Linked DNA regions of Elephas maximus indicus. The protein of the gene in region 2 interacts with the protein of the main gene of each other region in a biochemical or structural test. Links are inferred from orthologs where the notes say so. Each region holds a gene or a part of one and is shown on either strand. Other genes may lie near its edges. The genes, in order: CYSLTR2, DLG3 and NET1.

Region 1 (10,143 bases), on a different chromosome or scaffold from region 2:
TGCTAAGGCTTGCTTTATGACCTAATATGTGGTCTATTCTAGAGAATGTTCCATGTGCACTAGAAAAGAAAGTATAGTTGGTTGCTGTTGCGGGGAGTGTTTTGTATATGTCTACGAGGTCAAGTTGGTTGATTGTGGCATTTAGACCTTCTGTGTCTTTATTGAGCTTCTTTCTGGATGTCCTGTCCTTCACTGAAAGTGGCATGTTGAAGTCTCCTACTAAAATTGTGGAGCTGTCTATCTCACTTTTCAATGCTGATAGAGTTTGTTTTATGTATCTTGCAGGCCTGTCATTGGGTGCATAAATATTTAATATGGTTATATCTTTTTGGAGTATTGTCCCTTTAATCATAATATAGTGTCCTTCCTTATCCTTTCTGATGGATTTAACTTTAAAGTCTATTTTGTCAGAAATTAATATTGCCACTCCTGCTCTTTTTTGATTGTTGTTTGCTTGATATATTTTTTTTCCATCCTTTGAGTTTTAGTTTGTTTGTGTCTCTAAGTCTAAGGTGTGTCTCTTGTAGGCAGCATATAGACGGATCTTGTTTTTTAATCCATTCTGCCACTCTCTGTCTCTTTATTGGCGCATTTAGTCCATTTACCTTCAGGGTAATCATGGATAGGTATGAATTTAGTGCTATCATTTTGATGTCTTTTTTTGTGTTTGACAACTTCTTTTTCCCACTTGATTTTATGTGCTGAGTAGATTTTCTTTATGTGTTGTCCTTTCCTCATATTTGTTGTTGTTCATTTTGTTTCTGCTGAGTCTGTATTTTTCCCTTGTATTTTATTTTGATGAGTAGGATAGTTTGTCTCCTTTGTGGTTACCTTATTATTTACCCCTATTTTTCTAAATTTATAACTAACTTTTATTTCTTTGTATCGCCATATCTTCCTCTCCGTATGGAAGGTGTATGACTACTTTTCTTAGTTGCTCTTTATTGTCTTGATGTTGTCTTCTTTTATGTAATAACATTGCCATTACCCTGTGTTAGGCTTTTTTTTTTCAAATCTTGCTTTTTTTGGGGGGGGGTTTCCCTATCTGGGTTGACTTCTGGTTGCTCTTCCCAGTGTTCTAGTCTTGGGTTGATACCTGATATTATTGGTTTTCTAACCAAGGAACTCCCTTTAATATTTCTTGTAGTTTTGGTTTGGTTTTTACAAATTCCCTCAACTTGTGTTTATCTGGAAATTTCTTAATTTCACCTTCATATTTAAGAGACAGTTTTACTGGATATACGATTCTTGGCAGGCAATTTTTTTCCTTCAGTTTTTTAAATATGTCATCCCATTGCCTTCTTGCCTGCATAGTTTCTGCTGAGTAGTCTGAGCTTATTCTTATTGGCTCTCTCTTGTAGGTGACTTTTCTTTTATCCCTCGCTGCTCTTATAATTGTCTCCTTATCTTTGCTTTTGGCAAGCTTGATTATAATATATCTTGGTGACTTTCTTTTAAGGTCTACCTTATATGGAGTTCGATGAGCATCTTGGATAGATATCTTCTCATCTTTCACAATATCAGGGAAGTTTTCTGTCAACAAATCCTCAGCAATTTTCTCTGTATTTTCTGTTATCCCTCCCTGTTCTGGTACTCCAATCACTCGTAGGTTATTTCTCTTCATAGAGTCCCACATGATTCTTAAGGTTTCTTCATTTTTTTTTTTTTAATTCTTTAATCTGATTTTTCTTCAAATATTAGTGCCAAGTGATCTATCTTCGAGTTCAGAAATGCTACCTTCTACTTGCTCAGTTCTGCTTCTCTGACTTTCTATTGAGTTATCTAATTCTGTAATTTTATTTTTAATATTCTGAGTTTCTGATTGCTGTCTGTCTATGGGTTTTTCCAGCTTATTAAACTTTTCATTATGTTCCTGAATAATCTTTCTGATTCCTTCAGTTGCTTTATCTATGTGTTCCTTAGCTTGTTCTGCATATTGCCTCATTTCCTTCCTGATGTCTTAAAGGGTTCTGTATATTAAACTTTTGTATTCTGCATCTGGTAATTCCAGGAATTCACTTTCATCTAAAAGATTCCTGGATTCTTTGTTTTGAGAGCCTGTTGAGGTGATCATGGCCTTTTTCTTTATGTGACTTGATATTGACTGTTGTCTCTGATCCATCTATAAGTTATTGTATTAGTTTATGCTTGCTTACTGTCTCGTAGCTGCTTGCTTTGTTTTGTTTTGGTATACGCCTATGGGTTGCTTCAGTGAGCTAGCTTGATTATTTTCACCTTTGGAGCGCTGGTTTCCCTTCTCCAGCTGGCTAGAGCTGTTATCAGGTATATCAGTCTAGGAGTCCATTCAGTTTTCTTGTATGAATTCAGCTCAGGTTTCCAGGTAGCTGATGTCAAGTGTGTGGTACCAGCTCTGTCATACAGCCTTAGAGGGGCAGGGGTGATTGGCGTATATACCAGTATCTGATTGCAGCGGGGGCTCACGCTCTGAACAAGGCAGGGGGCTGAGAACTGACCCCCAAGTGTCTCTGAGGAAACATGTCTCTGTTCCCTAGAGCGTGCTGGTGGATGGTCTCTGCAGAGGGACCATGGGCACCCAAAGTTTTTGGTTGTAAGGACTGGGAGGTACCAGTTATCCCTGGACCCCTGTCACAGGTGGCTAGGCAACCCACGTGGAGCCACCAGTCCTCAGGTCCCTGTTGTGAGTAGTTGAGAACCTTGTTTAATAGGTAAAGCAATGTCAAATGTGAAACACCCACCTCTCCACTGCACAGCTGAAATGGTTGGTGTTTGCCATCAAGGGCCTATTCTCCCGAAATAGACCCACACAGTCCATGCAGAAGGGAAAGGTGCTCAAGGTCCATGGACAGTTTATGCCTGGACAGGAGCTGCTTCTGTCCTGAGCTCCCCCAGTTAATGGAGCTAGCAAATTATCTTTTCCCCCCAGTTGCAAATTTTTTCCTTCCCCAAGGCCAGGAGGACGGCTCCAGGTGCTCACCAGAGTCTATCTCAGGCCCAGGGATTCAGCCGCTGAAGCTGGGTTGGGGGTGGGGGGTGCAGTAAAATATACGCAAGTACTTAGCTTTTGCCGAGAGCGCCCTTCTCCTCAGGCTCTGAGGGTGTGAGTGGGCTGTGTGGCTGGCTGCTTCTCCCTGAGAAAACTGCAGCTGAACGCTAGGACCAGCCCGCCGCCACCGCTGTAGTCGCCACTCTGGGAATGGTGCCTGAGGGCTCCCTGTGATTCAGGTCTGGTAAGTCTTCTTTGCTTCTGATCGGTCTCTTCCTCCCTCTGCCCCTCAGTTCACTGTCTAAGCTTACCTTTGATGCTCAGGGTTCCCAGCTTGTCACAAATATACTGGTTTCGCTTGTTTTTTTGAGTCTTTTTTGTAAAGAGGGCTCGATGGAAGCATCTGTCTCTTCTGCCATCTTGGCTCCGCCTCCAAAGATTAGTTTTGATTTAAATGAATTTTTAATAATGCAAAATCTCCATAACTGCATGTCTCCCATAAAGTATGACTATAGTGTACCAAAAAGCTAGAGAGTAAAAAAGACTGTGGCCTTAGAGCTTAAAAGAACTGAATTGATGAAAGAATACTCAGATTGAGTATAAGTTCTCCGTATGAGTTCGGAGCAAAAAAATAAATATAAATTCCTCTTTTATACATCCTAGTGAATCTGCATCATAACAAGAATAATGAGGGAAAAAATTTAAAGCAAACTGAACCATTTTATGTTCCCACCAGCAACGAATAAAGGTTCGAATTTCTCCACATCCTCGCTAACCTCTGTTATTTTCCATTCTTCTTTGTTTGTTTTTGCTTTTATCTTAGCCATCCTTAGTATGTCTCTAATGGTTAATGCATCAATGGGCTCAAGCATAATAATGATTGTGAGGATGGTGCAAAACCAGGTAGTGTTTCATTCTATTGTACACAGGGTTGCTATGAATTGAAACTGACTAGACGGCACCTAACAATAACAACAATCATTAGATGTTGAACATTTTTTTGAAGTGCTTGTTGGCCTTTTGAAAATCCACTTTGGTGAAATATCTGGTTTCTCAAAAAGTTAAATGTAGAACTACCATATGACCCAGAAATTCCACTCCTAGATATATACCCAAGAGACCTGAAAGCAGAACATGAACAGATACATGCACCCCAATGTTCACTGCAGCACTATTCAAAATAAAATTTAGAGAAAAACAATAGAATCAACCCCCTCCTCAATTAGAATTATGTAAACATAAATAAAGTCTAAGTAAACTCCTGGCAAATGTGATCAAGAAAAAGAGAAGCCACAAATAAATCATATTAGGAATGAAAGGGTTTACTGTCAAGATTGTTAAAATTTTAACTAAATATTTTGAATAATTTCATGATAATGCATTTTAAAACGTTGATCAAATAGAGTTTTTGGTTTTGGTTAAATGTAAATTATCTAAAGTAACTCAAGATGAGTCCAGAAGGGATATTAAAAAACATTCACAATGGGTATAGGGATGGGGAATGATAAATCCAAATGACAAAAAAATGAGAACAGACAATTGCTGCAAATAACTGGTAGAGACTTACTGCTGGTAATGAATGACTGTCAAACCCAACCATATCTGTAATAGAAATTAAATCAGAAGCCAAAAATCTACACACCAAGAAAGCACTATGCTCAGAAGACTGTAGAAACAAGTTTTACCAAAACTGTAAGGAGCAGATAACTCTTTACCCATACAAACTGTTTCAGATAATAGAAAAAGAAGAATTACTTCTCAACTAAAAAAGGAGAGAAAGTATAAGAAGAAAAATTTGTATGTCAAGCTTAGGTATGAACATGAATGTAATTATCATAAGCAAAATATTAGGGAACTGAATTCAGCAATATGTGTAAAAAAAATCGTGACTTACTAGAGTTTATTTCAACAATGTAAGGATGTTTTAAGACATGAAATCCTATTAATTTAACACATTAAGAAAATTTTTAGATATACATGATTATCTCAATATATAACCAAAAAAGCATTCAATAAAATTTAGCATACATTCATGATTTTGATACAAACAAAAAGCACACTTAAGCTATTAGGAACAGAAGGGAATTTCCTTAATCTGGTAAAAGATATTATCAAAAACTTACCACAAACATCATACTCATCGGTGAAATATTAAAAGCATTCTGTTTAGGAAGCCAGCACAACTTGTCCAAGGCAAGGTCATGGAAGCTCCACAGACACATCCAGACTCCCTGAGGGATGAAATTACTGGTCTGAGAGCTGGGAACCATGGTTTCGGGGGACATTTCGCTCAACTGGCATAACACACTTATAAAGAAAATGTTCCACATTCTACTTTGGTGAGCAGCGTTTGGGGTCTTAAAAGCTTGTGAGCAGCCACCTAAGATACTCCACTGGTCTTACTCCGTCAGGAGCATGGGAGAATGAAGAAAACCAAAGACACAAAGGAGAGATTAGTGCAAAGGACTAATGGGCCAAAACTACCACAGCCTCCACCAGACTGAGTCCAGCACAACTAGATCTTGGTGCACAGCCAGCAAAGATCCTGGACAGGAAGTACAGGACGGTAACTCCACAGAGCTCGCAACAGGAGACAGAGCACCCAGTAACCAGAGAAACACGCTTTCCCACTCCTCATCTTTCTGCCCTGTATGCCACCCCCAGCCCTTCCTGACAGGCCACACCATGCCACTCAGCTAGAGAGCTACTGGCCTGCCATCATCTGGGTCCACCCCACCCCCACCTGATAGCTCTTGTCGTGCCATTATTTTTTCCTTTCTTCCCTTTCTTTCTCCCTCCCACCTAGCCCCATATGCCAACCTCACCCCTTCCAGATGGGCAGTGCTGTGCCACTCAGTTAGAGAGCTACTGGCCTGCCATCACCCTGGGTCTGCCCCACCCCACCCACCAGCTACTGTTGTGCAATATTTTTCTCTCTCTTCCCTTTCTTTCTCCCTCTTGCCTAGCCCCCTACACCACCCCAACCCCTTCCCAACAGGCAAAGCTGTGCCTCTCAGCTAGAGAGCTACTAGTCTGCCATCACTCCAGGTCCGCCCCAACTCTACCCACCAATTCCTGTTGTGCCATTTTTTTTCCTTTCTTCTTTTTCTTTCCTTTCTTCTTTTTCTTTCTCTCTCCCAGCTAGCCCTGTAAGACGCTTCATTCCCACTTCCACTGGCCCCAGGTACACCCCAAGCCCACACTCCAGTTACCCTTTCATTTTTTTTCTTTTCTTTATTTCCCTTACTTAGCCCCATACACCAGCCCCCTCTTCTTACTGGCCCTTGTGGTGCTGCCATGGCTAAAGCATGCTTGCCTCAGGCCCACCAATGCAATGGACTTACACTGCCCCTCCCATTTTGCCACCCAACCAGCTGCTGAACGAGTTCCTGTCTGACACTCCCACCTCTCTCGCAAAGGACTGTGAATGCTCTCACATCGCTGGACCAACACCAGGGGTAGACAGCACCCCCCAGTCTGCCCTCAGCACCTCACCAAACAAGTGTACAGCAAAGTGGGCTCACAATACATGCTAGTGCTCTGCCCAGCCAGACAAGGTGGTGACAGTTATTGTGTCCATGATGAGCAACTGGCAAAGCATGCCTGGCCAGCCCACCCTGACATATAAAAAAAAACAAAAACAAAGATCAGGATGAAACAAACAAACACACAATCAATAAATACAGAAAACCGTACCTTGATGTCTTGGAGGCAGCAGACAATACCAAAACATATAAAAAAGCAGGGCAATGTGGCTCCAGCAAAAAAAGAAAGAAAGAAACAGATAACCAACCAAGGGAAGACAAAGAATGGAACTACCTAATATGGAGTGCAAAAGACTAATATTTAGGGCTCTCCAACAGATTAAGAAAGAGATGAAGTAAAGCACAGACCAAACCAAAGAAAAAACAAACAAAATCATGGAGAACATGGAAAAAAAACAGGCAAAATCAGGGAAAACACAAAACAATAGAAGACTTCAGGAAAAAAAACTCAAGAACAAAACTTCAAAATGAATAAAGAATTAGAAATAATACAAAAACGGCAACTAGAAATCCAAAGATAACATTTCAGAAATTGACAACTCAGTAGAAGGTTTTAGGAGAAAATTTGAATCAATGGAAGACAGAATCAGCAAGACTGAAGACAAATACGTGGACGCTACTTTGAGGAGAAATCAGAGAAAAGAATGAAGAAAACCTAAGAATTATGAAGGACACAATCAAAGAGCAAAAATTTGCATGTGATCAGAGTTCCAGAACAGGGGGATAAAATGAAAAACATAGAGAAAATTGTTGAAAATTTGCTGGCAGAAAACTTCCCAAGTATCATGAAAGAAGAAAAGCTGACCATCCAAGAAGCTCAATGAACTCCATATAGGATAGACCCTGTGATGGTTAAGGTCGTGTGTCAACTTGGCTGGGCCATGATTCTCAGTGGTTTGACAGTTATGATGTAGTTTGGAAGCCATATGATGATGTGATCTCTTCCATGATGAGATATGATATAATGTGATCACATCAACAATGGGATCTGTTTGAATAGCCAGTCAAAAGAGAGTTTCCTTGTGGGTGTAGCCTGCATCCAATATAGGTGGACTCTGGCAAGATTCATGGGCTTTTGCTTCCTCTGGATCTTTCAGCTGGCTCCTGCTCATCTGACCTCAGATTCTTGGGACTTAAGCCAGGAGTTTACTTGCCATTTTGCCTGCTGATCTTGGGATTCATCAGTCTTTGCAGCCTGTGAGCAAGAGCCCTGCTCTCTGACCTGCCGATCTTGGGTTTGCCAGGCCCTGTGGCTATGTGAATGAGGAGAAGCCTCCATCATAACCCACAGACTAGGAACATTACAGCCTCCACAACCATGTGACCCATTTACTTGATATAAATCTCTCTATATAATTAAATACTTTACTGGTTTTGCCTTACTAGAGAACCAGCCTAAGACAGATCCCAAAAGAAACTCACCAAGACATATCATATTCACATTTGCCAAACCAAAGACCAAGAAAGAACTCTGAGAGCAGCTTGAGAAAAATGAAAAGTCACTTACAAAGGGGAAACAATAAGACTAAGCTCTGATTACTTGGCAGAAACAATGCAGGCAAGGAGACAATGGGATGACATATGAAAAGAAAGAAAAAAAAATGGCAAACAAGAATAATATACCCTGCAAAAATCTCTCAATTGCAATGATGTAATTAGGACATTTCTAGATAAACAGAATTTAAGGAAATTCATTAAAACCAAACCAAATTTTAAAACCATATTAAAGGAAGACCTTTGGTTAGAGAACCAACAACATCAAACAACAACTGGGGTCTAGCACACAGGACAGCATCAGACAGATACTAACCTAGGTAAAGAACTCTCAATAATAAAACAAGGCTAATAGACTTAAAACAGGAAACACAGACACCAGTCTGTAAATGACAACAATGTCAAAACTCTAAAAGAGGAAATAAACAGTGTAGGTACAGAACTTTCAAATGGAGGAGAAATTAAGGCAACATCAAGTAATAAAAGACTGTTTAAACTTAGGAAGGTAAGGGTAAATTTCAAGGTAACCATAAAGAGACCTAACAAACCCACTCATCAGAGGAAAAAGGAGAAAAAGTCTCAGTACACATAAAATGTATAAAAAGAAAAGAAAACCCACAAATCAACCAACTTGACCTCATAGATATATATATATAAAACACTCCACCCAACAGCTCCAAAGCATACATCTTTTTCTAACACCCATGGAACATTTCCCAGAATAGACCAAATTTTAGGACATAAAGCAAAGCTCAATAAAATCCAAAACATTGAAATAATGCAAAGCATTCTCTCTGATCACAATGCTGTAAAAGTAGAAATCAATAACATGAAAAACAAGGGAAAAAAAACTCAAATACATGAAAACTGAATAACACCTTGCTTAAAAAAAAACTGAGTAATAGAAGAGATCAAAAAGGGAATCAAAAAGTTCTTAGAATGAATGAAAATGAAAAACATCATACAAAAACTTTGGGACACAGCAAAGTCAACGCTCACAGTTCAATTTATACCAATAAATGCATACATCAAAAAAAGAAGAATGGGCCAAAATCAAAGTGTTAGCCTTACAATTCAAACAAATAGAAAAAGAGCAGAAAAAAGAAGTCCACAGCCACAAAAATAAAGGAAATAATAAAGATTACAGCAGAAATAAATGAAATAGAGAACAGAAAAACAATAGAAAGAACCAACAATACCAAACATTGGTTGTTTCAAAAGATCAACGAAATCAAAAAACCATCGGCCGAACTGACAAAAGAAAAACAGGAAAGGAAGCAAATAAAACAAATAAGAAATAAGGTAACAGACTCAACTGAAATAAAAAGGATCATAACAGAATACCATGAAAAATTATACTCCAACAAATTTGAAAACCAAGAGGAAATGGTCAATTTTCTAGAAACACTCTACCTACCTAAACTAACACAAACCAAGATAGGAAATCTGAACAGACCTATAACAAGAGAGAGAATAGAAGAGGTAATAAAAAGACTCCCAAAAGCAAAGCAGAAAAAAAAGTCCTGGCCCAAACAGCTTCACTGGAGAATCTTACTAAGCATTCAGAGAAGAGCTCATACCAGCACAACTCAAACTATTTCGGAACATAGAAAAGGAAAAGATATTCCCAAATTCATTCTATGAAGCCAGTATAACCCTATACCAAAGCCAAGCAAAGACACCATCCAAAAAAAAAGACCAATACCTGTCATGAATATAGATTCAAAATTCTCACCCACAGAATTCAGCATCATATCAGAAAAATAATACACTACAACCAAGTGGGATTCATACCAGGTATGCAAGGATGCCTCAACATAAAAAAATCAATCGACACAATCCACCACATAAATAAAGCAAAAGAAGAGAATCACCTGATCGTCTCAATTGACCCAGAAAAGGCATTCAACAAAGTTCAACGCCCATTTGTGATAAAAACTCTCAATAAAATAGGTATAGAAGTGAAATTCCTCAACATAATAAACGGCATCTATAGAAAACCAACAGCTAATATCATTCTCAACAGAAAGAGGCTGGAAACATTCCCCCTGAGAACAGGAAAAAGGCAAGTATGCCCTTTAACACCACTTCCATTTAACATTGTACTGGAAGCTCTAGCTAGAGCAGTAAGGCAAGAAA
Region 2 (10,143 bases):
CATAAATAGCTAAAAATAGAACTACCATATGATCCAGAAATCCCACTCCTTGGAATATATACTAGAGAAATAAGAGCCTTTACACCAACAGATATATTGCACACCCATGTTCATTGCAGCACTGTTTACAATAGCAAAAAGATGGAATCGACCGAGGTGCCCATCAACGGATGAATGGATAAATTAATTATGGTATGTTCACACAATGGAATACTTCACATTGATACAGAACAATGATGAATCCGTGAAACATCTCATAACATAGAAGAATCTGGAAGGCATTATGCTGAGTGAAATTAGTCAGTTGCAAAAGGACAAATATTGTATGAGACCACTATTACAAGAATTTGAGAAATTGTTTAAACAGAGAAGAAAATATTCTTTGATGGTTATAAGAGTGGGGAGGAAGGGAGGAAGAGGGGTATTCACTAATTAGATAGACAAGAACTATTTTAGGTGAAGGGAAAGACAACACATAATTCAGGAGAGGTCAGCACAACTGAACTAAATCAAAAGCAAAGAAGTTTCTTGAAAAAACTGAATGCTTCGAAAGCCAGCGTAGCAGGGGCGGGGGCCTGGGGACCATGGTTTCAGGGGACATCTAGGTCAATTGGCATAATAAAATCTATTAAGAAAACATTCTGCATCACACTTTGGTGAGTGGCATCTGGGGTCTTAAATGGTAGCAAGTGGCCATCTAAGATGCATCAATTGGTCTCAACCCACCTGGAGCAAAGGAGAATGAAGAACACCAAGAACACAAGGCGATTACGAGCCCAAGAGACAGAAAGGGGCATGTAAACCAGAGACTACATCAGCCTGAGACCAGAAGAACTGGATGGTGCCCGGCTACAACCGATGACTGCCCTGACAGGGAACACAACAGAGAGCCCCCGAAGGGGCAGGAGAGTAGTGGGATGCAGACCTCAAATTTTCGTAAGAAGACCAGACTTAAAGGTCTGACTGAGCCTGGAGGGACCTCGGAGGTCATGGTCCACAGACTTTCTTTTAGCCCAAGACTGGAACCATTCCCAAAGCCAACTCTTCAGACAGGGATTGGACTGGACTGTAAGGTAGAAAATAATACTGGTGAGGAGTGAGCTTCTTGGCTCAAGCGGACACATAAGACTATGTGGGCAGCTCCTGTCTCGAGGTAAGATGAGAAGGCACAGGGGGACAGAAGCTGGCTGAATGGACACAGGGAATACAGGGTGGAGAGAAGGAGTGTACTGTCTCATGGGGGGAGAGGAACTAGGAGTATGTAGCAAGGTATATATAAATTTTTCTATGAGAGACTGACTTGATTTGTAAACTTTCACTTAAAGCACACTAAAAAAAAGAAATAATGACTAAAATTTTCCACGTTTGGCAAAAAACATCAACCTATAAAATGAAGAACCTGAGTGAAACTCAAAGAGGTTAAACTCAAAGAAATCCACCCAAAATATATCAGAGTCAAACTTCTGAAAACTAAAGACAAAACAAAACAGAAAATCTTGCAAGCAATGAGAAATGACTCTTCATCCATAGGTGTAGAATAATTTTTATGGCAGTGGATTTCTCATCAAAAATCACGGAGGTCAGAAGAACGGGGCAGGACATACTTCAAGTGCTGAAAAAAAGTAACTGTCAGCCCCAGATGCTATATCTGGTGAAAACGTCCTTTAGAAATGAAAGGGAAATCAAGAATTCTCAGACTAAGGAAAACTAAGAGAATTTCATCGCCAGCAGAACCATCCTGAAAGAAGGGCTAAAAGAAGTTCTCAGAACAAAGGGAATGATAAAAGAAGGAATCTTGAAACATCAGAAAGGAAAAAAGATCAACAGAATGAGCAAAAATATGGATAAATACAATAGACTTTCCTTTTCCTCTTGAGTTGTCTAAATTACCTTTATGGTTGAAGCAAAAAGTATAACATCATCTGATATAGATCTCAATGTTTGTAGAGAAAATATTTATCACAACCATATTAAAAATGGGAGAGGTTAAAAAAAACTTCAAGGAAGTTAAGGTTCCCACATTCAACCTGGTAAATGTCTAAACTAATAAATTTTGTGGTGAAATTGTTTTGTATCTTGATTGCAGTGGTTGCTAAAAGAATCTCCACGTGATTAAATGGCATAAAACTGTACACACATTGTACCCATGTCAATTTTCTGGTTTTGATATTTTATTATAATTAAGTAATATTTAATCTTTAGGGGAAACTGGGTGAAAGGTACATGGGATCTCTTTGTACTCTCTTTGCAACTTCCTGTAAATTTATAATTATTTCAAAATAAAAAAAGTTTTAAAAGATTATCGGGACTACTCTAGATTAAAAGAGATTAAAGAAACAAATGCAGTGTGAGAACCTTAATTGGGTTCTGATTTTTAAAGATATGAAAGGCAAATTTTGGGAAATGCTAATATAGACTGGACATTAAAACAAAAACAAAAACAAACCCATTGCAGTCAAGTCGATTCCGACTCATTGTGGCCCTGTAAGGCAGAGTAGAACTGCCCCACAGGGTTTCCACGGAGCGCTGGTGGATTTGAGCTGTCGACCTTTTGGTTAGCAGCTGAGCTCTTTAACCATTATGCCACCAGGGTTTCCAGACTGGACACTAAAAAAAAAAAAAAAAAATTTTTTTTTTTTTTTTTTTTTTTTTTTTTTATGAAATTTTCTTAGGCGTCATCATGATATTGTGATTATTTGGGAAAATGTCTTTATTCTTAAGAGATGCATTTAGGGGTGAAGAGTAATGAAGTCTGTAATTTACTTTAAAGTGGTTCAGAAAAAGTGTTTATGTATCTATCTATACAGACAGACACGCCGAGAGAAAACACAAATATAACTAAACGTTACCAATTGTTGACTCTATGAGGAGGGTATACGGATGTTCATTACAGTATTCTTTCAACTTTTCTGTATGTTTGTAAATGTACATTTAAAAATTTTTGGAAAGGATATGTGGAAGATAGGTAGGTGATAAAGCAAATACAGTAAAATGTTAATTGTAGAATCTAGTTGATAGATAATTGAGTGTTCACTGTAAAATGTATTTTTCTCTGTGTTTGAAAATTTTCACATTAAAATGTTGATGTTAAAAACTTGAAGGAAAAATATCATAACCCAGTGTCCTCCCCTAGCACTCCCAGTCCCCCTTACTCTGCTCTACTTTTTCTTTTTTTGTAGCACTTATCACCATCTATACTATATAACTCACTTATTTATTGTACTTCTTTTTGTCTGTCTCCTCTCACTGGAATGTAAGCTCCAGCGGGCAGGGATTTTGTCTGTTTTGCTCTGTTTGCTGCTATATCCCCAGCTCCTTAAATACTGTCTGGCACATAGCAGGCGCTCGATAATCAAAGAATCTCTGTATCTTTTGTACCTAGGTCAAGGTCGAATGTTTGTTCAATTGAACTGAGATCCAAGTTCTGCAGAAGAACTTAGAATAGATCTATTATACTAGAGTGGTTCAGATCATGGCCTCTGGACTCAAATGACCAGGATTTGAATTTTGATTCTGTCACTTTCTAGCTAGGTTAACCTCCCTGAGCCTCAATTTCTCATTGGTAAGATTAAGATAATAACAGTACCACCTTGGTAGACTTTTTGTTTGCCATTAAGCACTTAGGACTTTACAAACACTCAATAATTGGTAGCTAAAGACAAAACAACAAAAAGATAGAGCCCCCAGCATGTCATCCTTCCTCCATCCCCCAACAGGCTAAGCCAGGAGAGGCTGAGGAGATGTCCTTGGACGGGTATTCCCAAGTTCTCCAGACCCACGGACTTGTTTCTCTCCTTTCAGAGGTCTTCTTACCTTTCCTCCTGTCTTGGATTCTCTTTCTTCTTGGGATCCTGAAACTCTTTCTCCCACCATAACCATATGGGGGTGGGGTAGAGGAGATAGGAGCCTGTGGGCCAGGGACAAGGCTTACTGCTTTCCTTTCCTCTCTTATCTAGAGCTGAGTCCCTGACTGATGATGGAAGAAGGTCAAGTGTGAGATCCTGGTCATTTCAGGGCCCAGGGGCTGAGAGAACAATAGTCCTGAGGAGGAGGCATTGGCAAGAGTGCTAGCCTTGTATGCTGCCCTCTTGCTTGGTCTGCTGTAAGAGAGAGCAGCACCTCCTTCACCCTGCTCCAACGTCCTTTCAGTCTGTCCTGCTGCCTCAAGTCTTTACTTCTAGTGGCCCCAACTCAGAGCAAGCCCGGGGACCCATTGAACTCTTTCTTGGAAGTGGGGTGGAGTGGAGTGGGAGGAAGACGGGCTGAAATCGGGGTGTAGGGGCAGGTATTGAGGGCTGAACTAACCCATGGTCTAAGCCCCCCGCCCCCACCCGAAGATGGACGGTACTCCCAAGATCCGGGGAGCTGGAGCTGAGCCTGGGGGCGCCACCGCTTCTGTTCCTTTAAGGAGCCGCTGTTTAGCATTCCTGCCGCCGCTGCTGCCGCTGCCTGACTCTACGCCCTGATTGGCTGGAATCAACTGAGAAGAGAGCCAGGGAGAGATGCTCTAGACTCCACTCCGATCCATCCTGGGGACCAGAGCAGAAGCAGTCCTCGCACATCCAGCCTCTACCCCGGCTCCCGCTTCTTCTTCTTCTTCTCCGCTGGGCCTCAGCCCAGGAGCCACCACGGGCGACACGGAGCCACCAGTGCTGGAGGGGGAGCCGTGGGTGCGGGGCAGCGTGGGGGCAGAGGCCCCGGGACGCCCGCCCGGCCCCAGGCCCCGCTCCGCCCGGGCGCCCCCACGGGTGCCCCCCCCTCCCTGGTCCGAGCAGTGCGAGTGTGCCCGGGAGCCTGGCAGCGGCGGCGTGGAAGCCAGCGTGGGTTGGGGAGTCCGAGCCGCGGGGGGCAGTGCCATGCACAAGCACCAGCACTGCTGTAAGTGCCCCGAGTGCTACGAGGTGACCCGCCTGGCCGCCCTGCGGCGCCTCGAGCCTCCTGGCTATGGAGACTGGCAGGTGCCAGACCCCTACGGTCCAGGTGGGGGCAATGGGGCCAGCGCAGGTTATGGGGGCTACAGCTCCCAGACCCTGCCCTCGCAGGCGGGGGCCACCCCCACCCCCCGCACCAAGGCCAAGCTCATCCCCACTGGCCGAGATGTGGGGCCAGTGCCCCCCAAGCCAGCCCCAGGCAAGAGCACCCCCAAACTCAACGGCAGCGGCCCCAGCTGGTGGCCTGAGTGCACCTGCACCAACCGGGACTGGTATGAACAGGTATGGACCAGCGGTGTAGGGGGACGGAAGGGCAACCTATGAGGGTTGGAGAGTGGGGGCCTAGAGGCCTAGGGTGCAGCAGAGGGAGCTGGGGCTCCAAGCCCGTGGACCCTGAGCCCTAGCATTGCAGCTGGGCAAAGAGAGGCAGTTGGAAACGTATGGTTCTCTGTGTGTCTGCTGGGGGGGGGGTCTCCATTTGGAGGGGATTGGGAGGAGCTGTGTGTCAGGGAGTGGAGATATGGCGGAGGGGCAAATTTTCCCGTGTGGGGGAATTGGGTTTGTCTTAGTGCGGGGGTTCAGCAGTGTCTCTGTGTCTGGCAGGGGGCGGGAGGTTCTGCGGGGGCTGTGTGTGGTGTGTGTCTCCATAGGAGGGGAGGAGGGGGCATGGTGCTCTGCATAGAGGGAACATGTGTGTGTGTGTGTGTGTGTGTGTGTGTGTTGGGATGTGTGGAGGAAGGCAACGGAGCCTCTGTGAAGGTATGTAGAGGAGCCCATGTGCCTGGCTCGCTGAGCTGCATCCCTTGGTGCCATGAGTCCCTCTCCCTCCCAGTCCCTTTGTGTGTGAATGTGCACATGGACGTGTGGGACGCCTCTCTGGATGTGGAGGTGTCTCTGTAGATAAGGCTGAGGGAATAGCTGTGTTTGCCTATGTGTGTTGGTATATGTATATGTGTGAGCATGTGGCTACAAATGTGTGCATGCATGTGCCTCTGTGTGTGTGTGTGGTGTCCCTGGTGAGAGGCACTTGACAGGCAAGGAAGGGGAGGAGGAGGAGGAGGCAAGAGGCACGTCCCAAGAAAGGCTGAGGGGCTGCTGAGAAGGACAGACTCTTTTGTCCAAGCAGCTCTGAAGTGTGTGTGTGCTGGGGGGGGGGGGGGGTGGGGACTGAAGCAAGCTTTCTTGCTCCAGACTAGGCATGGTGCCTGGAGCCAGGCAAGGGGCAGCTGCCCTGGTGCAGGGACTGGACCCAGTGGGACATGTCCCCCTTGGATACTCCCAGATGTGAGAGAGCTTGGCACCCCAGCCCCGATTTGGCACAGTTTGGGAGACCCCTGGATGCCGGGCACAACTCCGGCTTCCACTCTCAGCCTAAACTGCCAGCTTAGAAAATGGAAGGAGCATCTGTGGGAGAAGCAGCAAAATGGAGGCTGGGCCGGCAGAGCCAGGTCCCTGGCATGCATGGCGGAGGGCCTGTCTGGTTATCTGGCTCTGCAGCCCCCAGGGTGGGGAGAAAGAAGAAGGAGGTTTCGCTATCGAGTGCAGTGGCTGACTGCCCCAAGCTGGTGGCCATTCTGGCTGCCCTCCATCCTCCTCTGGAGATAGGATGTGCACTTGCTCAAAAGCAAAGGGGAGGGGGGAATTCCTGGGGAAAGGAGCCCTCAGTTCTGGCCTTCTGTCTGTCCACACTTTCCGCTTCCTATGTCCCTTGTCTTAGACCCTTGCCTTCTCCAGTGAGTCTCTCTCCCTCCTTTGCCCCTCTGCCCTGGAGCCCTCCCCTTGCGAACACCCTCTCATATTTGTCCTGCCCAGCCAGGGAACGAGTTCCAGTCCCAGGGCTGGGTCAGTTGGTCAAGGTTTTTTTGCCAGGGCTGATCCCTGGATGGCGCCTGGTCCTGGGAGCAGAGTCTCTGAGTGTGGTGGGAAGAACTGGAGGGTGGGCCAGTGGGAGGTGGGAGCCTTTGGGTCCCACATGAGCTGGGCTCGAGGCATGGCTTGTCAGATGTGGGTACATACAAGAGCCACACGAGTGTCCTTTGGCCTGTGTGTCTGTCTGCATGGTTGTGGGTCTCTGAAGGGTCATCAGTTCTTCCTCCTGGAATCAGAGACCAGGGTGGGATTGCAGCTGGAGTCCTCCCACCAATTCCCAGGGCAGGGCATAAAGTCCTGGGGCCAGGCCCAGAAACAGTGGAGACATGACTAGCCAGCACTCTCCCCCTCTCATGATCTCTGCTTCTTAAAGCCAAAGCTGTGTGGGGTAGAGGTGGGAGAGAGAAAACACATTGGGGCAGACAGAGGAGCCACTGCCCACTCTTTCCAGTTCTCCTTTCTGAGGAAGATGCTGGGGGTGGGGGGGGGGGCAGGCAAAGGCCAGTGCGGGCAGAGATGGGAGGAGAGGGTGCTGGGACACCTGGGGAAAGAGGCAAGAGGGCTGCTAGTCATGCCTCTTCCATTCTTGAGGATGAGAGTTGGAGCCAGGAAGCAGGTGTTATTTCTCTGTCCAGAATCACATTTTCACTTGATAAATGGTCACATGTGTGTACTGTCTGGGAGGCCACCTCTGTGGGTTGATCAGACCAACCCATTGTTTTCCACCCCTTTCCTTTGCCTCTCTTCCCATGGCTACTGCATGTTGAAGGCCACAGAGTCTGCTCCAGTCAGTCTGTGGACCATCAGCTTCTCCCTCATGGAGAATTTTGTTCGCTCTGCCCCTGTACCTCCCCTGGTTTTGCTTCTGACTCCTGACCAGATCCTGCCCTGGCCCTTTCTGTTGGGAGACATGAAGGGTTCAGGATCAAAATCCCCTTGGTAGAAAATGGATTAGGACTTTAACTCCTTCTGCCCATATGAGGAATTGGGCTCCTGGGGACAAAGAAAGAGGTATAGAATGAGGGGTTATGAGATGCTTTGAAGGAGGCCACTTTCTGATTTCCCACGAGCTCTGCTGGGGGAAGGGGTGTGTGACCAAAAAATCAGTAGCTTTGGCAGCCTGCTTTAATCAAAAGGGCACCTGGAGATCAGGGTTCTTGCTGCAGCTCTACCACTGATTCCCAGTGTGCCCTTAGACATATCCCATGTCCTCTCGGGGCCTCAGTGTCACCATCTGTAATAACTAGGGGAGCTGAAACAAGATGGTATCTGCTGCTCTTCCATCTCTGACATGGTAGGAGTCTATGATCCCCAAGTCAGGGAGAGCTGTGGTTCAGAAGGGGAGGGAGGGTCCCTGTCCAGGTCACTGGGTGTCTCCTGTGGATGCTGCGTATGGCATGGTCCGACCACCATGCTCCATCTCTGCTATCCCTCTCAGGCCATCCCTGCACCCCTCCTAGTGAACTCAGAGGCCCTAGAGCCGAGCCTCTTGATGAGTGCACAACTGGCCAGCTCAGTCCCAGGCAATTGATCTGGGCTACACAAGCAGCCGGGTTTGGCCTGACATGGCTGGAAGCAAGGGGAGAGGAGTGTCTTCCTCGGGGTCAGCCTGTTCCTATCTGTGACCAAGAGGTGCTCTGGGGTGGATTTCAGTTTTTCTGCTGGGAGTGGGGTGGGGGGAAGGCAGGTTGGCCAGGGGGCAGGAAGGTCAGGAAGCACTCAGGGAACTGCCTGTGTTTTCCCCTAGGTGAATGGCAGTGATAGCATGTTCAAGTATGAGGAGATAGTACTCGAGCGGGTAAGTCTGCCGGTAGGAAGGAGACAGGAGGGAAGGGAGGGTGCGAGCCAGGAGAGGGGAGGGCCCTGAACCTTGGCTTTAAGACTCATGGCAGGACCTGCATTGAGCGGATGGAGAAACAGCGGCCCTCAGAGGCTGCATCACTGCATGAATCAATCTACTAACAAATATTGATTGACCTTGCTCACTGAGGCCTGGGGAACTGGGGATGGAATGGGGTTTGCTGAGGCCTCCATGCCAAAATGGACAGCACAGGCTGGGAAGCCACCAGGTTTGTGACAAATCTGACCCTCCCTGCCATGGCCCTTCTGAGGCCTGGAGAACCTCCCCTAGGAGGTTGGGGAAGATGGGTGCCAGAAATTCTCCTTTATGCCCTCTGAGTGAATAGACTGTGCCCCTCCACCCATTTCTGCAGGGCAACTCCGGCCTGGGCTTCAGTATCGCGGGTGGCATCGACAACCCCCATGTCCCAGATGACCCTGGCATCTTCATTACCAAGATCATCCCTGGTGGAGCAGCTGCCATGGACGGGAGGCTGGGGTGAGGTGGCCTGGAAGCAGGGTGGGGGCGGCAGGGACAGGATGAAGATGAGGGGAGGAGGGCCCGACTGGTAGATGACCCTTCCATCAGATCTGGGAGGGGGAGGGGCAGTGGGAGGTGCAGGAGAGAGGAGGAAGGGGAGGGAGAGAGGAGAAGAGGAGGGGAGAAGGCGGGAGAGGGGGTGGAGTGGCGGTGGCATAGTGTTGTGCCTCTCGGCTTCCCCTGCAGGGTGAATGACTGTGTGCTTCGGGTGAATGAGGTGGACGTGTCAGAGGTGGTGCACAGCCGAGCCGTGGAGGCACTGAAGGAGGCAGGCCCTGTGGTGCGGTTGGTGGTGCGGAGGCGACAGCCCCCACCAGAGACCATCATGGAGGTCAACCTGCTCAAAGGGCCCAAAGGTGCGGCTGTCTGGGTTCCTGTGCTCTGACCAGAGCTCCTAGCCCTGGGTCCTGGCTGGCTGGCCATGTAGGAATTAGAAGGGAATGGCCTTACTCCTTGCCTGATTCCCCTTTTCAACTCACAGCCTTCTTTCTTCGCCTCAGGTCTCACCCTTACTGGCCTAATGTTTGGGACCCCTGAGGGAGTTCCTGTGAGGCCAATGAGTTGGCTGGGGGGGGGGGGGTTGGACTTGGGATTGAATGAGCACTCTAATCTCTCCTTGTGACCCCTTCCTACTCCCTGCTGGCTCCCACCTAGGCCTGGGTTTCAGCATTGCTGGGGGGATTGGCAACCAGCACATCCCAGGAGACAACAGCATCTACATCACCAAGATCATTGAGGGGGGTGCTGCCCAGAAGGATGGACGCCTGCAGATTGGGGACCGGCTGCTGGCGGTAAGACAGCCTTCATCAGGATGCCCAAACGGTAGGGTGAGGAGGTGAAGCTCCAATACCCTCTTACTCCACGTAAACTTCACTCAGGGACCAGGCATCATGAGGAGTTTCAAGAGCATCGTCTGAGTTATGTTTACCTAGACACCAAGACCCTAGTTCTTTCCATGGCTGG
Region 3 (10,143 bases), on a different chromosome or scaffold from region 2:
GTCATGGGAGGTGTTCAAGCAAAGGCAGAATACAGTGGTTAAGAGAACACTCAGTTTCTGGAATCAGACTGCCTGGACTCAAATCTTGGTTGTAGCACTTGCTAGGCAGTACCCTGGGCCTCAGTTTTCTCATCTGTAAAATGGAGGGTTAATAATCAAACTTCCCTTGTGAAGTTGTTGTGAAGATTAAATGAGATATGTTTAAAGGGCTCAGAACAGTGCTTGGCACACAGTTAGCTATTACTACATTCTTTCTTAGGGATATTTCTAGTACTTAAACACTGGAATTCATAATTTGATCCTCTCTCATGTATTTATTAACTTTAAAGGAAAAAGATACACAAATTCTGAAGAAAGTTATTATTCTACATGTATTGCTTTAAAAATAATAGTATAGCAAATATCACTTATTCAAGGACCTCAAAACTTACAAATGCCAGATCATAAAACAGATTTGTCCTTTATAATGTCTACAGAGTATTATCTGTTTGTATTTGGTGCCTTTGATAATCATGGCATAAAAAAACCCATTGCAGTCTAGTCGATTTTGACTCGTAGCAACCCTTTAGGACAGAGCAGAACTGCCCCATTCGGTTTCCAAGGTGTGCCTGGTAAATTCCAACTACTGACCTTTTGGTTAACAGCTATAGCTCTTAATCACTATGCCACCAGGGTTTCCAATGGTGGCATACATGATGAAATAATTCTGATGAGAATTCAGAAGGGTATATATTTTAAAATTATATAAAAATCACCATTTAAAAATAATAGAAGAAAATTTTTTTCTAAAAATTCTTTGATATGGTCAAAGTCATAAAAAGTTGACTTTTTAAAGGAAATAAAAGATAATCAAATGTTTAATACTAGACATTAAATGATTGATGAGAAAACTGAGTGCAAATGATTTCCCTGGAATAATTTAAGAATAAACTGGCAGAAAGAGTTAAAAGTCTTTGGAAAGAAAGAAATTTAAAAAATGATTCAAATAGCCAAAGTAGCAAAGCTTAGATTTATTAAAGCTCTTAAATATATACGTATATATTAGAAAGGATTATGAACCACTAAAGTAAGGAGACTTGCTAGATAATCAAAATGAACTCAGAACTCCGAATACCTTAACAGGCAGCATTTTAGACATCCCTCCCCGACAAAAAAGACAATTAACACCGAAGTAAAACCCTGAATATAAAGCCACTAATGGCGGCGCTCCTTGGAAACTCTATCGGGCAGTTCTATTCTGTCCTATAGGGTTGCTATGAGTCGGAATCAACTCGACGGCAATGGGTTTTCAATGTGCAAAAGGAAACCCTGGTGGCCTAGTGGTTAAGTGCTATGGCTGCTAACCAAAAGGTCAGCCACCAGGTGCTCCTTGGAAACCCTATGGGGCAGTTCTACTCTGTCCTATAGGGTCCCCATGAGTCGGAATGGAGTTGACGGCAACAGGTTTGGTTTTCGAGTTTTTAATGTGCAAATATTAAATGAATTGAAAAAGAAACCTTCAAAATATGTAGTAATCTGACACACATGGTGACCAAGGACATGTGTGAATGCCTTTACAATATACATCTGTACAAGACTGAAGTGACACATGCATGTGCAGGAGGGCTAACATAAGGCATTCCTTTCTATTTAGTAAAGACAGTACAAACAGTCTTGTTTGAGTGGAGATATAATTACCTCACAAGGTAAGATATGCCAACATTAACTACAAACAAAGCAGTTGTCAGAAAGTTCTGTTCCTCTTTTTGGAAACAAAGGTTTAAAGCATAACATATTTGACTTCTCAGTAAGTCACAAAATATTTAATTTCAGTTTAAAAGTCTTTGGAGTGATGCCTCTCCCAGTGAATTTGATAGGAAAAATTAGTTCAGCTGGGAGGAAAGGGTTTTTTTTTTTTTTTTAAATCTATTATATAAAATCAAATTAATGATAAAAAATTCTTATCTTTATTGGATCAGTTACTGTATAATTACTGATTTCTTGGTAACTCAAAATTATGTGATACTTAAAATGAAATCTACAGAATTTGGGTTGAGATAATAAATATAAATATATCCAAAGCAAGTTTCTGAAACTAATATGGATTTTGTTTATGTTGTTTCTTTAGGGTGGCAGGATATTATGCTAAGCAGTATTTGGTGGTTAAATATTTCCACAGTCCTTTAAAAACCCACCCATATCTCATTTCTCCAGAAAGGATATGTTACTCTTAAAAGTTCATCTAATTCAAAATGTCTTGCTTGGTAAGAAAGTGTGGTATTAAATCAGGAAATACCAGTGGGGGAAGGGGAAGACTTTCCACTTTTCCAACTTGCTTTTGGTGATCCAATAGCAACTTTCCTGCTTTACTAAAATGGCACATGTGGAGATTTTTTGGCAGAAACAATACAAACTGTTAGTGTTAATATTTCAAAAGCATAAACACTTTTAATGAATAACTTGAAAAGTGTGATGGAAATGTAAAGGCATAGTACTGGATATGGATTACAGCACAGTATACTACTAAATTTCAGGATATGTATACTACCTGAAAAAAAAATTATACAGAAAATTTTTGTGGAAAAGTGATACAGATTAGGCAATCACGGGTTGCCTATAAGGTTGGGATAAAAATTCCCAATCTTTTGAAATACAGGGTAGGATTTGGTTCATGTGAACTAAAACCAAAAATAGTTTTTCTTCAGAAATCCAGCTGAACTATTTTAACTATCTTGTTTTAGTTACTAAGAACTTAAATATTTGCATTGTCACAAAACACATTTCTAAGAGACTGTTTTTAGAGAACTGCACACACACACACACACACACACACACACAATGCAGGTACAATAGTTAGAGGTTATAAAAGAGCAGGGGTATATCCGTCCTACCACCACCAAAAGTAAAGATTATATAATGTTTCTATTGTTTTTATTTTGGAGCACTGGAAACAGTGCTATGGATATTCAAACTATACCCTCTCCTTAAAGGACAATCTGAACGTTTTTGAAAATAAAGAATACCAGCATACTCAAGAAACTTTCTACTGTAGGTAACCTTTCACCAGGGCTAAAGTTTACTTGGAAGGGAAGCATAAACCCAACACCCTTAACAAATTCATGTTGATTATTTAGGTTAACTTTTAATCAGACTATCTAGTTTAGCTAGGCAATCACACACATTATTATAAGAAATCCTGCCTTCAGACCGGGTAACTAATTAATTACACAATCCAATTGTTGTTCAGATTTTATACCTTAAAATATTTTTTGAACATCTATATACGGTAAATTGTTAGGATCAATGTAAAATCTTTTATTGGAATGTACCCTTCATGTCAATGCAACAACACAAAAAAATTCTGCCATGACTTCAGCATCTTGTAAAAAGGTTTTTCTTCTAATAATGATGTCACTTAAGAGGGCTTATTTTAGGAGGTTTTTCTATAGTCAATTAAATCAAGACATTTAAAAAAGACAGTACGTGTCTAAGTTTATTTGTTTTGGATTACAAAATGAATAATTTTCCTTAGTACCTGGCAAGAAGTTTAAAATAAGAAGAATGAAAATAAAGGCTATTTTTAAAAAAATAAAAATGAGTTATGATAGGATTTCTTCCCTTTCTACTTAGTAAGAAGGGTAATAGGAATATTCAAGTAAGTCATTTCTTTAAGGCTATGTTACCAGTTCTAAAAACCTGACAACATTTCTGGTGTTTTTAATCTTTTGAATACAGCTGTGCCAGAAACATGGCCCATGTCTAATACCAAACAAAAAAGACTGCCTCTTGATGGGCCAAAAGATGATTATCAGGTTCAGTATTTACACTGATGACCACGTACTTGATTTGCTTAATATAGACACATCAAGAAAACCAAAACCTAAGTAAGCAAAAAACAAAACAATAACCAAAGCCAAACCACGCCAAGTAAAAGCGTACCTCCTAAACATGGCAGCTACTTTAGCTACCAAAAAGTATATGTTGTACATATATGATAAACAGTTTTATTCAGGTATGACTAACATACAACAAACTGCACATATTTAAAGTATGATTAGGTAAGTTTTGAGTAGGTATATACCAAACCACCACTACAATCAAGATAGATACATAGATGACTGAATACAGAAACACTGTTTCTAACATAAGTGATGATATATACCACATAATATACATTGCAGTATATAAATTAATACAATACCGTATAGTATTAAATTAACTGTAAAGATTACCTAAAATTGTATAAAAAGCATTTGATTTACTTTGATAAATGTTCATCAAGATTTTTAAGAACTATAATGACTTCAAAGTATTTAAATAATGATCATGTGCTTAAATGTTTTAACGTATCTTTCTTTCTGAAGAAAACAAAAGCAGCACACAATGAACTTAATAGATGTGGAAAGAAAAAGCAAAAACCCACACCAGGTCAGATAGCACTTTAGTTGCAATTTATCCACTAGCATGAACTTACAAGGAAGGGATTCTTATTTTTCTTCTTACCCCATAAAGCAGTTCCTAAGGCTAAGCAAATACGATAAAAAAATATATATATATATATACTTTAAAAAATATATATATATAGAACATCAGAAAAGTGACCAATTTAACCAAACTGAGCAGCTTATATACTTAAAATCTTTTTCCTTTCGCATAGAAGTTTCTGTACACTCAAGCTATACCATGTAATAAACCTATACCACAATTCCTAAGCACACTTCTCAAACTTGGATATAATCAAAGTCATACATATTAACACTCAGTAACCATACTTAAATTGTTAGATCAAAAGTTTAAAATTATACTGTTAATAAATTGTTAAAAATCTTAAAAGTTTCATGGAGTTAGAAAACATTCCTTTTGCCTAATTTTTATTTTAAAGTCTTACCTCTTGTTCTCTGAAGGACTGATTATTAACATCTAGGACTCGAATAGTTCTTTTAATAGGTAGGAGACCTCCAATCTCATCATGCGCCACCATGCTTTACCGAGTATTCCTTAAAATCTTTACAAGTGATCCACATCCGCGTCAGCTCTGCTGACTCGGATCACTACTGAGTCACACAGGCTTTTCTTTTGAGTCCTCACCCACCCTTGGCAGCCATTTGCCCATGTCTCTTCCTTGTGGTGGAACTAACAGCTTCTGAGAGCTGGGGTAAAAGCACACAGACCTCAAGGCTCTGTAGGCGGGGCCAAAACAGCGAACTAGCCTTAGTGGGCGTGCACCTAGGGGGTCACGTGACGCGAGTTAACTGACAGCTGTGGCACACCTAGGCTTCTCCGTTTTCGCTGTGGAAGAGAAAGCTCTTTATCGATAGGTTTGGAATTTCTATAGTAAGAAAATAAGAGGAGAAGGGAAAAGGAAGTTGGGTTAATGTAAGGCAGAAGCTTTTCTTCCTGATTTAGAAAGCATTCCCAATGGAGAACTAATTGCTTGTTTAGGTTATCTCATCTAGTTTTAGTCACAGGCAGGGATACTTTTCCCATAAAAACCCTTTCACCTAGGAAGAAATTTATTATGCACAATTGACAACTTCAAGCAAGAAAGTAGGAATTCAGAGTTAAATAACTGTATAGGCTAAAGAAAAACCTAATTACCCAGGCAACTTGCTTTTATTTTACATAAGTTGCAAACATATTCACAACTGTAAAATTGCCTGCCCTTAGAAAATGGTTCCCACTATTTTTTCGTAAGACCAGCAGGGTAAATAAAGTTTACTCTATTCTTGAAGTAAATCTCCCATAGGGTTATGGGCAAAGCATAACTGGGTTACTTTGGAGGATAAAGTTCAGTATTTCTTAGACTTAATAGTAGGTATTTTTTCTGTATGTTTTTAAAATTTGATATCTGTATACTAGATGTTATAAAAATACATAAAAGGTGATTTGTTCTAAAAATATATAACAGAGGTCTTTATTCTGAACTAACCAATCTTGATAAATTCCTAATAGAAATCAAAAGACTTACTTAAACTATCTTGCATTTTACACAGGAAGAAATGAGCCTCACAGAGAAGTTACCTGCCCAAAGTCATATACTAGTGACAGTTTCCACATTTCTAGTCTGAATCCGTTTCTCTATGGAACAACATGATTTCTGTTGCTCTGGTAGGTCTGCTATGAAGCAGATTTTCTTCTTTAACACAAAGTACTGTATTCTATTTTGAAAGGTAAGATTTTAACTTAACTGTATATTACTATGAATGACCTGATGCCAGTGTTTCACAAAAAATGATTTTACTTCTATTCTTAGGATTGGAGAAATCTACGAAAAAGACACTGTTCTAGATACTGTGGTTGACATATATATATATATAAAAGGTTTTATATCTGATCCTAAGTGCTAATACCATTGTGGATAGGCCACATGAAGATATAACTAATACAAGACAGCTTTTCAGCAAGGGAAAAGCGCAAGGCTCCAAAGTAGATTGAGTGAGTAAACTCAAACTGTGAGGTAATGGGCTGTGCTTAAAAAGGAGTAGGTCTTAGTGAGCAGGTGAGAGAGGTAACGAAAGTCATGCTGAAAGAAGAGACATATGACTAGTGTTTGAGGTGGTCTGAAAGATGATTGGCAGCAATGCAAAAATCATAATCAGGTATCAAGAACTTTACCTAAGGTAGGACATCAGGAAGGAAAAGGATACATGCAAGAGACAATATATGCAAGAAGTCAAAGAAGCTGAAGATTTTAAGATGGGAGGGGCAACTGTTTATGAAAATAATAAGAACAAGTTTTGAAAGAAAATTGTTTCATTTTAGATATACTTGAGTCTGAGGTGATGGAAGAACAGACAAATGAAAATACTCACCTAGATGTTAGAAATGTTGGACAGGGACTTGGAAGACAGGCAGATTTAGGCAGAAGAGAGGTAGAGTTAGGCTGAAGAGTCAGCCACATAGTAGTGAGAGTTGAAGCCTTGGGGATGAAGGAGATGCCTGGGAGAGAAAATCTGGACAAAAAGAGCAAGAGACCTAATTTTGGATGAATGGTCTCATGGACTGAATTGCATCCCCCTAAAATATATCAGCTTGGCTAGGCTATGATCCCCAGTATTGTGTGCTTGTCCTATTTTGTGATCTCATTATCATTCATTTTGTGATGTGTTGAAAATCCTAGTCTCTATGCCTATGGTTATGGTCCATTTGGGAATAAGCTGTCCATCATGTTAATGAGGCAGGATTGTTGTTGTTAGGTGCCGTTGAGTTGCTTCCGATTCATAGCAACCCTATGTACAACAGAACGAAACACTGTGCCATCCTCAAAATCATTGTTATACTTGAGCTCATTGTTGCAGCCACTGTGTCAATTGATCTCGATGAGGATCTTACTCTTTTTTGATGACCCTCTACTTCACCAAGCATGATGTCCTTCTCTAGGGACTGGTCCCTCCTGACAACATGTCCAAAGTATGTGAGATGAAGTCTCGCCATCTTGCTTCTAAGGAACATTCTGGCTGTACTTTCTCCAAGACAGATTTGTTCATTCTTCTGGCAGTCCATTCAGTATTCTTTGCAGTATTCAAAGGCATCAATTCTTCTTCGGTCATCCTTATTCACTGTCCAGCTTTCACATGCATATGAAGTAGCTGAAAAGACCATGGATTTGGGTTAGGCGCATGATAGACCTCAAAATAACACCTTTGCTTTTTGACACTTTAGAGAGGTCTTTTGGAGCAGATTTGCCTAATGGAACATGTCATTTGGTTTCCTGACTGCTGCTCCATGGGCGTTGATTGTGGAACCAAGAAAAATGAAATCCTTGACAAATTCAGTATTTTCCCTGTTTATCAGGATGTTGCTTATTGGTCTAGTTGTGAGGATTTTTGTTTTATGTTTAGGTGCAATTCATACTGAAGGCTGTAGTCTTTGATCTTCATCAGTAAGTGCTTCAAGTCCTCTTTGCTTTTAGCAAGAAGTTTGTGTCATCTGCATGTTGCAGGTTGTTAATGAGTTTTCCTCCAATTCTGATGTTGTGTTCTTCATATAGTCCAGCTTCACAGATTATATGTTCAGCACACAGATTGAATAAATTTGGTGAAAGGGTACAACCGTGACACACACCTTTCCTGATTTTAAACCACGGAGTATCCCCTTGTTCTGTTCAAACAACTGCCTCTTGGTCTATGTACAGGTTTCTGATGAGCACAATTAAATGTCTTGGAATTCCATTCTTTGCAGTGTTATCCATAACCTGTCATGATTCACACAGTCAAATGCCTTTGCGTAGTCAATAAAACACAGGTAAACATCTTTCTGGTATTCTCTGCTTTCAGCCAAGACCTATCTGACATCAGCAATGATATTCCTCGTTCCATGATTCCTCAATTATGTCACGTTAATGAGGATTAGGGTTGGATGCAACACCCTTACTCAGGTCATAGCCCTGATCCATGTAAGGGCAGTTTCCCTGGGGTGTGGCCTGCATCACCTTTTATGTTATAAGAGACAAAAGGAGAGAGAAGTGAGCAGAGAGAGAGGGACCTATTATCACCAAGAAAGAAGGGCTGGGAGTGGAGCATGTCCTTTGGACCTGGGGACCCTGTGCTGAACTTCCTAGACCCAGGGGAATATTGATGCCAAGACACATAGGTTCTCCAAGGAATGCTGGGCCCACAAATGATGAAAGGACGCAAGGACTTTCCACCAGAGCTGACAGAGAGAGAGCCTTTCCCTAGAGGTGGCGCCCTGAATTCGGACTTCTAGCCTCCTAAACTGTGAGTGAATAAAATTCTGTTTGTTAAAGCTATCCACTTGTGGTATTTCTAGCAGTACTAGATAACTAAGATAAATGTCAAGAGAAAAGAATTAACAATTACAAGGAGAGAAAGCAAGAATCCAAGGGAAGAAAAGGTGTTAATTATTGAAAATAGGTTAAGGAGGGTAAGGAAAAATTCATGAATTTAGTGATCACAAGTTTAACAGTGACCTCAAGTGTGGAAGTTCAGTGGAATAAACAAAGTAAATTGCAGGGGTTGAAGAATGAATAGGGCAGAGTAAGAAATAATAGGTACTGACTATTTATAAAGACAAATAATCTATATAGAGATTTATTAAGGTCTGTAGGACAGTGTTACTTCTTTTAAGAAGGACCAGTGCTGCTCTTCTGTAGCCACCAATGTGCTTTGTATACAAGGTCATGGTAATTCATCAGTCTGGTTTGAGGTGTTCATTGTTTTTGTTTCTCCTTTTTTTTAAGTAATGGGTATTGGTTATATTTTATCATCTATCCTCTATTACCTGGCCACATCTGGGCAGCATGTATGATTGTGGCTGATTGTAGAAGGTATTTTTATGTAGCACTGAAGTAGAAGCACCTTGTAGATCATGGGATCCCCAAACAAAACAAACCCACCGCCGTCGAGTCAATTCCGACTCATAGCGACCCTATAGGACAGAGTAGAACTGCCCTGTACAGTTTCCAAGGAGCGCCTGGCGGATTCGAACTGTCCACTTTTTGGTTAATAGCCGTAGCACTTAACCACTACACCACCAGGGTTTCCTGTGGGATCCAGTTCCCTAATTTTATAGGCAAGAAAACTAATCCACCTAAATTCTCAGAGCTAATAGGAAGAGCCTGGGATAGAACCCAGTAGTTTGGTTCAGTTACTTTAATCACTTAAAAAATGATGCAAGTAAGGCCAGTACTTATGGTCATTTAGTTTCACGAATAAAGGACTATGTGCAATGAGAATTAGAGAAAAAGCTGTTATGGGCGTCATACGGGTCTCTTACCCCATGTCTTTCTCAAAACTATTATTTTTCCATTTAGTTATCATAGAAGTAAGTCAAGATAATGAGGGGAAGGGATAGTTTTCATTTCTCTCCTTTAGCTGAGGACCCAGGAGGTAAAGGTAGAAATCATTTTATATAAAAATAGACACTACATGAGCCCAATAGGGTCTAGAGATGATAGTCACAAAAATCCCAAATCATTAACACTAAAATCTTAGTTTCATTTTGTATGTTCAGGTTTGTGGTCTAACTATAATTTAGACAACTGTAGATAGTGTCTAAAAAAGGAGCAACGAACATGTGAATGTTCAATTACTATTCTAAGGGATGAGCCTGAGAGAATCTTGAGTCAATGTTCAGTATCAGAAGACTGAAAAGGTTGTTTCAGATCATTAATCCATCCTCCTCAGTTTTCTTAGAAGGAAGCTG

The links.
Region 1: the proteins of DLG3 (region 2) and CYSLTR2 interact in a test that uses a peptide from one of them, tested with the Homo sapiens proteins (2 studies listed by IntAct, with this or other methods). The link is inferred for Elephas maximus indicus from reciprocal best matches to the Homo sapiens genes DLG3 and CYSLTR2.
Region 3: the proteins of DLG3 (region 2) and NET1 interact in a test that uses a peptide from one of them, tested with the Homo sapiens proteins (2 studies listed by IntAct, with this or other methods). The link is inferred for Elephas maximus indicus from reciprocal best matches to the Homo sapiens genes DLG3 and NET1.

Annotation. Positions count from the first base shown.
Region 1 is NC_064832.1:30,341,807-30,351,949, forward strand, and holds the start of CYSLTR2 (cysteinyl leukotriene receptor 2), read right to left. Parts: upstream 5,849-10,143; 5' UTR 5,791-5,848; intron 5,197-5,790; 5' UTR 5,089-5,196; intron 1-5,088. UniProt on the Homo sapiens protein: Receptor for cysteinyl leukotrienes. The response is mediated via a G-protein that activates a phosphatidylinositol-calcium second messenger system.
Region 2 is NC_064846.1:99,502,106-99,512,248, reverse strand, and holds the start of DLG3 (disks large homolog 3), read left to right. Parts: upstream 1-4,844; 5' UTR 4,845-4,856; coding exon 4,857-5,213; intron 5,214-8,547; coding exon 8,548-8,598; intron 8,599-9,013; coding exon 9,014-9,138; intron 9,139-9,366; coding exon 9,367-9,536; intron 9,537-9,834; coding exon 9,835-9,971; intron 9,972-10,143. UniProt on the Homo sapiens protein: Required for learning most likely through its role in synaptic plasticity following NMDA receptor signaling.
Region 3 is NC_064822.1:53,566,440-53,576,582, forward strand, and holds the start of NET1 (neuroepithelial cell-transforming gene 1 protein), read right to left. Parts: upstream 5,135-10,143; 5' UTR 4,961-5,134; coding exon 4,868-4,960; intron 1-4,867. Other genes in the region: neuroepithelial cell-transforming gene 1 protein-like, read right to left, coding at 6,858-6,932, 7,548-7,568. UniProt on the Homo sapiens protein: Acts as a guanine nucleotide exchange factor (GEF) for RhoA GTPase. May be involved in activation of the SAPK/JNK pathway Stimulates genotoxic stress-induced RHOB activity in breast cancer cells leading to their cell death.